3 linked regions of the Ovis aries genome follow. The protein of the gene in region 2 interacts with the protein of the main gene of each other region in a pairwise test. Links are inferred from orthologs where the notes say so. Each region holds a gene or a part of one and is shown on either strand. Other genes may lie near its edges.

Region 1 (2,624 bases), on a different chromosome or scaffold from region 2:
CAGGCTCAGCTGGGCCTGCAGCATTGTCACTGTTTTCTTCAAATGCTCATTTTCTTCCTCATCGGGGCTTTGCTGACTTGGTAAGGAAGTGATCTTCTCGGCAAACACATGATCGTACACGAAGTGCCTGGGGGAAATATTGAAAGACTCTTACACAGGCCGACTGAGAAGGCAAAGAGGGAGGCTGATGATTTTTTTCCAACTACATATTTTTGAGGAGCTGTGATATGACTGATTTTTTGCCTATTCCACCCTAGAGCAGCGGCTAAAACGAATGTGTGAGGCTGACAACACATGGAGGAACACACATCTTGTGTAATTAATTTTTTTTTAAAACATTAAAAATGCTATAGAACATCCATTCCCAAAGACCAGTAGTATGACTGAGACTGTTCAAGGAGATCAGAACAGCCAGTGGTGCTCAATCTTGGCTGCAGATTAGAATCACCTGGGCAGTCCTAAAACATACTGACGCCTGGGTCCCACCCCCACAGATGCTGACCTAGCTGGTCTGCCACATGAACTAGAGGGTGTGTATTTTTTAAAGCTCTTCCTATGATTCATAATATGCAGCTAAGACTGAGAACCATTGCTGCGGTGATTTTAAACCAAGAACAGACAGACATCAGAATCACCTGAATAGCCTTTCACTCATACCTAGAGATTCTGATTAGGCCTGATGGCGATCTGAACAGTCAAGTTGAGGCCCACCAAATGCACGAGCTGGTCTCTCTCCTGGTCAGAGTCCTGGGCAACTTGTAACTGTACTTATTTGCTACCTGCCTCTTCCTGAGACTGAAAGCTCCATGAGGGCAGAAACTGTGTCTGTTTTGCTCACCACTCCTCACATCTGGCATAGCACCTGCCTTACCACAGGTGTTCAAGAAATAGTTCTTAAATGAAGATTCAATCTCCAAAGTCTAAATTGTAAAAGGCTTTTCTTCAGGAAAAAAAAAAAAAAAAAAAAAGCCTTCTGTTTGCCTGGATTTTGTTTTACTGAAATTTCAATTGGACTAAACAACAACAACAACAACAAAAACTATCACATGTATGTTTAAGTGGTTTTGTTCAAACCACTGGTGGTCTAATAGCCAAGCGGCATTTCCTAAAAGGGTACTTTTAATCTACTGGGATCCAGAATGTGCCAATGACACGAGATGTTCTCCTGCTTGCAAATGGAAGGTGGGCTCTTACTGGCGGAGGTCATACAGCTCTTTCAAAGACGAGAAGCTGGGGGCCGATTTCTCCTGGTCATGCCTCCCCTGGCTCCTTCTCCTTTGGCTGGATGATTTCAGCTCCTCCACTTGGCTCTGGAGGTGATCAATGTTCATTTGCAGGCATTCAATCGTTTCAGTCAGACTGTGAGGAACAGACAGAAGCCAATTGCAGCTTGTCATATTAAATTAAAGGCATAAGCAGTGAGGAGAGCTTAGTTGGCAACCACTCAAACTGGGCTTTTGTAATTGGAAAAGACTTCTATTTAATCTCTATTCTCCATAGAGAATTAAATTAAAGCTTACCCCACACTGACCTGAACCCACTACAGCCATGTTCTATTCTAGTTTATACTAAATGACTTCCCCTAGGGCTTCTTCAACAGATTCTAAAGAATTTACCTCAGAATCTTTTGCTGTGAGGCCTTGCTGTCAGCAACGAGCTTTTGATTTGTTTCTTCCAGTTCCCTCGCTGTGACGTCTAATTGCTCATAAACCTTTGCATGCTGTTCATTCATCTGCCGCAGAAGCTCCACCTGCTTGGTCAGATACTGGAAGAGATAATTGTGACCAGGTTACACATTAAACATGTGGGATACCTGCAGTATTCCAGGTATAATACAGAATGCATCCTGCAATTCACTTCAATTCTGACACCACCTGGAGTGATAAGGGCTCAGTTCCACAAAACTGCCCCCAATTCAGGTACCAGAGGTAAGTCCTAGGGACCACCCGTCCTTTCAACCAAACAACTATAAATTAGGGAATTCCCATGACCTCCTCTCACATTCAATAATCTGCTAAAACAACACACAGAGCTTGGGAAAGGGATTTACTTACAGTTTTATTCTCAGATGCACCACCCTCCCTGGAAACCTCTTGGTCTCCTTTTAGAGTTTTACTGAAGCTTCATGGCACAGGCATGATTAATTAAATCATGGGCCACTGGTGAACAAACTTGATTCCAGTCCCTGACCCCTCTGCAGAGGCTGGCAACGGGGCTGAAAGTTCTAACCCTCTAATCATGTGGTCGGCTCCTCTGGTGAGCAGTCTCATTCTATCATTCAGGAAATTCCGAGGGATTCAGGACATGGGGACAAAGGTCGAATATATAGTTTTCATTATACCACAATACCACAAGTTTATTTTACGAAATGAAGAACTTCAAATCTCAGTTAAACTACTTTTCTTAAAAGGAGCTGAGTACAGGCCGTCCTTTATATGTTTAGTTCCCCTAAAGCTCACCAATACAGTTTAGGCTGGTCTACTTTTATAAAGCACAAAACACACATAAAATTAATATTTGACAGGAAAATCTAGGCAAGATATGATAATCCCACAAGAGAAAACGCTTGGAACACATCATCAAAGTTTAAGCAAAAATATATTTTACAGAAATAAGGGAAGCCT
Region 2 (4,293 bases):
AGGCTGCCCATTATCCTTTGATGACCTCTTTTCCCTTTCATATGCTCTTTAGTTTCACTAATCTCTAATCATGAACATGAAAATATTGGAGGTGGAAGAACTGGACAGAGGGTCACTTGTCCCTGGCTTTGCATACTTCTGGAGATACCCTAGTCCCTGCTGGCACACCCAGGATGGTGGCTAAGGGTAGCTGAAGAATCAAGTCATTCTAAACGTCAACACCATTCTCAAGTGATTTCAGATCCTTCCCCTCTCTGCAGTGGCGCACGTCGGTCAAGTGTTTATGTATCCAAGGAGAGGCTGCTATCTAGTACATCAACGTGGTCATGATTTAGTGAAAAGAGTCCTGGACTAGACCATAGCCTGCCTCAATATAGATTTACTGAGCTTCTTACAATGGTTCAAGGCCTTACTGGGCACTGGCTATAGGAAGATGACCAATGCAGACCGCTGAATTTTTGCTTTCAAGGCTCTCATAGAGTACTGAGAATAACAAACACAGTCTGATACAATGTATTAGGTAAAGGCCATAATTGTTAATTTGGGAGGAGGAGGGGCGCGTGAGGCAGGGAGTTCCCGGAGGGCATCAGGGACAGAATTTGAGCTGGATCCGGAAGGACAGATGAGTTTAAACCCAAAAGTGAAGGACTGTCGTTCCTGGCAGAGGAAACCGAATGAGCCAAGGCGCTTTAGGACACAGACCCCTTGCCCAGCGCTGCAGGGACACACAACCGGGGGCAAGGAGATTTACATCTCCGGGCCTTGGCTCAGAAACCTGTGACAATTACACCAGCCTTGCGCTTGGGAACAGCTGGGAAGATCTGCGCTGCTTTCGCCAAAGCTCTTGCCCGCGGTTAAGGCAGGAAGCCCTGGGAGGCGCGCAGGAGGACGGAAACTGTAAACCCGGCTCTCCACGCCTCCATCCTCGGCTTGGTGAAGTATATACACTCCAGCTCCCAGAGAAAGAGTCAAGAAAAAGACCGGAAGGGAAAAAAAACCCAGAAACTCTCGGGGGCAGGGACGGGGGGCGTGCGCGGCCTGAGCCCGGCCGGGGTGGTGCGCGGGCCGCGCGGCCACAGAGGTTCCGGGGCTGGCGACCGGGCGCGCTCCCCGCCGCCTTCCGGCCCCGCGCGGGGAAGCTGAGGCCGCGCTCGCGCCCCCCCTCGGCTCAGCCTCGCGCCTCCCGCCGCGCCTCCCGTCCCCGCTCCGGCTCGCTGGGGGCCGCGCGGCCGGGCCTACCCGCGGCCGGGCCACCTCCTCCCTCTCCGGAGTGACGAATCGGCGCCCGGCTGGCAAAGTACTGACTTTCGGGGAGTTTTGAGGAGCGTATGGAGCCTGAAAAAAATCCTTGACTGTGCTAAACACCACCGCGTCCCCACGAGAACGCTTATTTTCCTGAAGAGAGTCGGGTGGGGCCTGGAAAGGAATTAAGAAGAGTGTTGAAAGTGCGAGCGCGGAAGCTCGGGACGCGAGGGGCGGGGCGTGCGCGGGACAAAGGGAAGCGAGGCCGGAGCTGCGGGCGCTTCTTCTGCCCGCGGGTGAGTGTTTCCGACTGGGCCCGGCTGGGTCGGGAGGGTGGAGAGGCGTGGGGTCCCGGCTTGGCTGGGGTTGCTGAGGGTTGCTGGGGTTCAGGCTTGGCCGCGGGACCAGGGCCGGGGGCCGGCTGCGGCCTCTTTGAGGCCTAGCGGAGCGAGGGTGGGGAGAGAGTCCCATCTGGGGCTCCTCTTGGGCGGCCAGAAGTGCCCCTTCCACTAACCCCACGGAAGTGGTCAAGGCGCTTCTGCATGCTCCTCTTCAGTAGAGTAGCTGGTAAAGTGCACCTACACATCAAACCAAACCGAATCGGTCTCAGAGGAAGCCCTTGGGGCAAGCTAAGCCCGTGGTCCTCACCCCCAGGAAGATGGTTTCCCCTTGCCCAGGCAGCGATCTGAGGACTCACGGTGTGGCTTGGAGTGAAAAGCGAAAGCTGGGCAACAGTTTGGCCTGGGTTTGAAACCCAGCTCTGACACTTCCTGACTCTGTGTCTTGAGCCAAGTTACTTATACTGAACGAGACTCCTTTTTTCCCTCTGTAAAATGGCAATAGCAGTACACACCTCGTTGGTAGTGTGACTGTTAAACCAGATGGTGTGAAAGTAGTAAGCCTGTCCCGTATAAGGTATTCAACAAATAACTTCTCCAGGATTTTATGCCAGGCACCGGAGATGCATACAGTGGTGGACAATTGTACGAGATCACTCTTGAAATTTATGGTATAGCAAAAGAGACCAGTAATTTTAGAGTGTTAATAAAATGTGACACACCTGGGAGCTTGTGGCAGATATTATCAGGGCCCCCCACAGCAAGGCCTACTGGATGTTGACAGCCCACCCAAGCTTGAGCAGGAAGGAAATCTGCATTAGACTCTGGTGTCCTGCATGTACCTTAAGGAGAGAGGGAGACCCAGGTTGGGCCATTGAGAAAATAAATGATTTCTTTCTTTCCACACCAGGCCTCTTACTCATAATGCTCCAGAAATGCCCTTAAAATACAAAACAGGAGCAAAAAAAAAATCATGTTTGTTTCTCATAATGTCGGATGAAAATACTCTAGTAGTCATAGAAGTTATTTGCCTTTTTTGTGAAAATGAATGTTCATCTCTTTGTACACATGGTGTGTAATGTATAGTGAGGTAAGGAACAAGTTCACGTGTGTGTGGTCATGTCCTGAGCTAGTGTTACTAGGACTGAAGTTGGTAAAAATTGAGCTAGGTACTGGGACAGCAATAATGAACTAGCTGGTCCCTGTCTCCATTCAGCCCCCATATTAGCAGGTGTAATATGATATTGATCTGTGTAAATTGGAGTACAAATGAGGAAACATTTAATTTTGTACAGATAGGTCCAGAAGTCTCCATTGAGGAGATATATTTTGAGTTGAGCTAAGAAAGATCAATAAGAGTTTTTTCCAGTAGACTCTCGAAATTTATTCCCAGCGGTTATGAAGCTGTTTACCATCATGTTGTTTTTTAGTGGCTCAGTTGTGTCTGACTCTTGCGACCCCATGGACTATAGGGTACCAGGCTCCTCTCTCCATGGGATTCCCCAAGGGAGAATACTGGAGTGGGTTCCCATTTCCTTCTCCAGGAGATCTTCCCAACCCCGGGATTGAACTCAAGTCTTCTGCGTTGGCAGGCGGGTTCTTTTACCGCTGAGCCACCAGGGAAGCTCCATTACTCCTATAAGAGAATGTGAAGTTTCTTGTCACACCAGTTACCTTTTCCACTGCCTTCAGGAGTAAAATGCTGTTTTACTAGAAAGAAGTTGTTATCCTAAAAGGAAGGCAGAGCTGTGGCTGGTCATGGAGCTGTCAGTGTCTGGTAGGCCTTGTTGAGGTAGGCCCCAATAATACATCATATTCTTTTGTCATTGTATTTTTACCGATTTGATTAAATGTTTACATGGCATCAGCGAAACGTTTTCCATACAAGAGGTGGCTCAGTATCAAAAAAAAACAAAAACTTGCAAGTACATGTCTAATTTTACTTTTTAATATCCCCTGTCATTTGTTTTAGTCATTTAATTCTGATCAACTGAGTGACCTAAAGAACTAGTAAAATATTTAAAAGGCTTGATTACTAGAAGATAATGTAATTTTACAAAGAAATATCAAACTACCCTATTCTTTAGAAAAACATTCTCTTATGCTTGCTGAGTTTTGATTATCTTTATTTTTCTTTTTTTTTCCTTTTTTTTATTTTAGTGTCTCAGATTCATTCTTAAGGAACTGAGAACTTAATCTTCCAAAATGTCAAGTAAGTTTCATTTTTTATATTTATCAATCTATATTAATAAGAGACTAATGCCCTAGCAAATGGGAATTCCAAAATACTCTCATTTTTTTTTCTTCAAAACAGGACCATTGGTAGTTTTGTTGCATAGTATTATATCTCAGTTGTTTACAAGAAGTTATTTATTTTCTTTCAAACAGAAAGACCATCTTATGCCCCACCTCCCACCCCAGCTCCTGCAACAGTAAGTTTTAATTTTCTTGTTAATGTAATAGCCAAGTCTGGCCTTGATACAAAAACCCAGATGTCTTCCAGTGACAGTCACTCAATCATTACAGCAACAGGATGAAAAATTCAGCTAAAAAACAGCACTTCCTACTAAATAAAATAACTCTGCATCTTACCTTGAACCAACCCCAACATTTAAAGAAACATACTACTGAAATGCCAACCTCCTATGCTCAGTTCTTTTTTTAATTAGAAATAAGTGGCAAGTTTAACACTTTTCTTGTTCATCTCTATTAA
Region 3 (3,728 bases), on a different chromosome or scaffold from region 2:
CAGACACAACATTCCTGCACAGTCGGAAGAACATCCTCTAACCTACACTTCTCTTAGCTTAGGTTTTTCTATTTGGTGCCTGGAATCTGAAGCCATCTCCAGTCACAATTGGAGATGCAGGACTGTGTAGGTGATCTTTTCCTCCCCACCGCATCTGGCTCCCGGGTCTCTGGCTGGTAAGTTCCTTCTGGGGCAGCAGCACGGATGGAGCTTCCTCTGCGGAGGACCAACCAGGAAACCCCTAACCTCGAGTGTCAGCCATGCCCGAGTCAGAAGCCTGGGTTTCACACTGACAGCTACTCAATATCAGAGCTGCCCTAGTTTGGCTTCCTTGTTTTTTGGGTTTTTTTTAAACATCTAAAACTCTCCTGTTCTTTTCTTTACCCTAATATCTTACAAGCTAAAATAGAAATTAATAATAGAGATTCTATAACAGAGATTAAAGGTACTGCATAAATTTCCCTCTAGTTAAAATACCACGAACTCCACACCAACCAGAATGGCAAAAGAACATGATACTGGGGTGGCCAAAAAGTTCATTTGAGTTTTTCTGTAACATTGTACAGGAAAACCTGAACTTTCCGGCCAACCCAATAATAGAAAGCTATCATCCTCCCTACAGAACAGGAATCCCATATGGGCGTGTCGTGGCCTCTGCTTAAGAAAACAAATACACTATCTTTTACTATGTGCCCCAACTGGCCTACACAACCTCACCAAGACAGTGAGACTCCATAAGCACAAAATTTCAACAATTATTTTTCATACATTATTTTAAAAAACCAACTTAAGAAACCTCCACCAGAAAACTTTACCACTTCTGGAAATTCAGTATTTTTACTTGCAACAGTAAGACCCTAAAATACAAAAACTGAGACCCTGAAAAGAAAATATAAAGCAGGAGTCCCTGGATATAGGATGGCAGGTACACGTGACTAGAGCAGATATTTATCTAGAGTAAAGCCACAGCACAGAGGAAACGGCACTTACTCCTTTTTTCCTTTTTCTTGAACTTTCCTTTCTTCTTCCCATGGTCCTTCTCATCGTCAGACACTACATCGGGAGGCTCGTGGAGGCTGTCGTGGGGGGGTGAGGGCTCGCCCGTGCGGTACAGCCCGGGAAACTTGGTGGGGCTGATCTCCTCGGAGCTGGGGGTGCGTGTGAGCCCGCCGCCATGCTCCACCCTGCGGTGCTCACTGGGGCTGCTGGTGGGGGGCAGGAAGCACTCGGTCATGCTGCCTCCCTGATGACAGCGAGCAGGGCTTCTCGGTCACCTATCCATCACACCTGCGGGAGACAGAGCATCACGATCACCTGGTGGCCACCAGCACCCAGGAGCAGCAGACAGACACACAGCTCGGCAAACCCCCCTCAAGAACCGTCGCTGGTTTTGTCATCTTGAGTTGCATTTGTGCCTCACACATGCACGTCAGTTCTCAAAAAGCTGAAAGCACTGGATCTTCAAGTGTGAGGAAAATTAACCAAATGAAAGGACATAGGACATCAAGGCAGGGCAGAGTTTCTCCCAAAAAGAGCCCACCGCTGTAAGAGGTTTCATTTCGATTGCTATCCAACAGAAACCTTAATTTTTCTTAAGTTATGACCAAACAACCATGAGTAACAAGACTCTTTATATAACTACACATGAACAGTTCAGTGTCATTAGTAAAATTTACAAAACAGTGACAGATGTAGTGACTCACACAGGTTCAGATCATTAGCTGCAGTTACATACTGCAGTAGGCAATCCACGTGTTGATACAGCTAACAGAGGGAGAAACTCACTTGCTCATTCCTAAACTGCACACAAAACAGTTTTGCTAGAATGGACACCACAAAGGACAAATGTGGATAAATACCAAGGTTCTACTGTGCAGCACAGGAACTGTACTCAATATCATGTGATAAACCAGAACGGAAAGTATGAAAAAGAATATATATGCCTGGGTATATGTGTATAACTGAACCACGGTGCTGCACAGCAATAATTAACACAACTTTGTAATCCAGCTATATTTCAATAATAAAAATTTTTTAAGAAATAATAAAAAGGTACAAATGTAAGAAAAGCTCAAGATCTGTTCACATTTTTCTTCTTCATTACACAACGGTACACAGTTTAAGTACCATGCTCAAAAGTGAATTATGTTAGTTCTTACTCCTCTTTAATGTTTTTATAATATTCATCTGAAAAACTACCAGAATCACTTGTTTCTCTTTGCACTGATTTAAGGCACAAAGTGAAGAGGAACTAAAAAGCCTCTTGATGAGAGTGAAAGAGGAGAGTGAAAATGTTGGCTTAAAGCTCAACATTCAGAAAACGAAGACCATGGCATCTGGTCCCATCACTTCATGGGAAATAGATGGGAAACAGTGTCAGACTTTATTTTTTGGGCTCCAAAATCACTGCAGACAGTGATTGCAGCCATGAAATTAAAAGACGCTTACTCCTTGAAAGGAAAGTTATGACCAACCTAGATAACATATTGGAAAGCAGAGACATTACTTTGCCAACAAAGGTTCGTCTAGTCAAGGCTATGGTTTTCCCAGTAGTCATGTATGGATGTTAAGAGTTGGACTGTGAAGAAAGCTGAGTGCCGAAGAACTGATGCTTTTGAACTGTGGTGTTGGAAAAGACTCTTGAGAGTCCCTTGGACTGCAAGGAGATCCAACCAGTCCATTCTAAAGGAGATCAGTCCTGGGTGTTCTTTGGAAGGAATGATGCTAAAGCTGAAACTCCAGTACTTTGGCCACCTGATGCGAAGAGTTGAATCATTGGAAAAGACTGATGCTGGGAGGGATTGGGGGCAGGAGGAGAAGGGGACAACAGAGGATGAGATGGCTGGATGGCATCAGCGACTCGATGGATGTGAATTTGAGTGAACGCAGGGAGTTGGTGATGGACGGGGAGGCCTGGCGTGATGCAATTCAGGGGGTCGCAAAGAGTCGGACACGACTGAGCAACTGAACTGAACTGAAGGTGATTTTGAAATTTTAAAAACACACAAATACAAGTGATAACTGATAAATCTGACCATAAACAAAGTCAAAAGACAAGCAAATGTGAAAAAAAAGTGTAAATTATGACAGCGAACTTTTCTAAAAAGCAGAGTTCTCACAAATCAATGAAAATTTCAGCATAGCAAGAATGTGAAGCAGTTCACAGGAAAATGACTAATATCCACATGAAAATAACATTCAAGTACAATTGCAATTTTTAAGAACATAAGACGGTAAGTTAGAATTTTTATAACATCAGACTGGCAAAGAACAAAAAAGGGTCTATAATATACCAAGTGCTGGTAAGGGTGTGAATATCCACTAAGGGAGAATATCCACCAACAGCTGAAGTATAAACCAGCACAGTCTTTTCTGAAAAGCAACTTGGCAAAATCTATCAAAGTTTTAAATGTGCTCTCTTTGATCTAAGAATTCCTCTTTTTAGGAACTTATCCTTCAGACATCCTTTTATAAGCACTCAAAGATGTGCACATGAAAATAATCATTTTAGCACTGTGAAAGCAAAGACAGCAAAATCTAAATGGCTATCAATGAAAGACACATTGAATTAGGCTTGATCCAAATAATGGAACATAAAGTCACACACAAGCCATCTCTGACACAGTAAACCATTGTTAAGTCTCCGAAGCTGTGAAAGAGGAGGGAGAGAAAGATCTCCTTTTATTTTGAGCCTTACCACGCCGTCTATCACTTTACTGCTATTATCA

Evidence for each region.
Region 1: the proteins of SMARCE1 (region 2) and CDR2 interact in binary tests that used the Homo sapiens proteins (3 or more experiments, as listed by UniProt). The two-hybrid records come from large-scale screens. The link is inferred for Ovis aries from reciprocal best matches to the Homo sapiens genes SMARCE1 and CDR2.
Region 3: the proteins of SMARCE1 (region 2) and RALBP1 interact in binary tests that used the Homo sapiens proteins (3 or more experiments, as listed by UniProt). The two-hybrid records come from large-scale screens. The link is inferred for Ovis aries from reciprocal best matches to the Homo sapiens genes SMARCE1 and RALBP1.

The regions. Positions count from the first base shown.
Region 1 is NC_056077.1:20,559,499-20,562,122, forward strand, and holds part of CDR2 (cerebellar degeneration-related protein 2), read right to left. Parts: intron 1,766-2,624; coding exon 1,617-1,765; intron 1,360-1,616; coding exon 1,195-1,359; intron 128-1,194; coding exon 1-127.
Region 2 is NC_056064.1:40,602,566-40,606,858, reverse strand, and holds the start of SMARCE1 (SWI/SNF-related matrix-associated actin-dependent regulator of chromatin subfamily E member 1), read left to right. Parts: upstream 1-1,493; 5' UTR 1,494-1,538; intron 1,539-3,740; 5' UTR 3,741-3,785; coding exon 3,786-3,792; intron 3,793-3,968; coding exon 3,969-4,012; intron 4,013-4,293. UniProt on the Homo sapiens protein: Involved in transcriptional activation and repression of select genes by chromatin remodeling (alteration of DNA-nucleosome topology).
Region 3 is NC_056076.1:42,133,037-42,136,764, reverse strand, and holds part of RALBP1 (ralA-binding protein 1), read right to left. Parts: intron 1,288-3,728; 5' UTR 1,235-1,287; coding exon 991-1,234; intron 1-990. UniProt on the Homo sapiens protein: Multifunctional protein that functions as a downstream effector of RALA and RALB. As a GTPase-activating protein/GAP can inactivate CDC42 and RAC1 by stimulating their GTPase activity.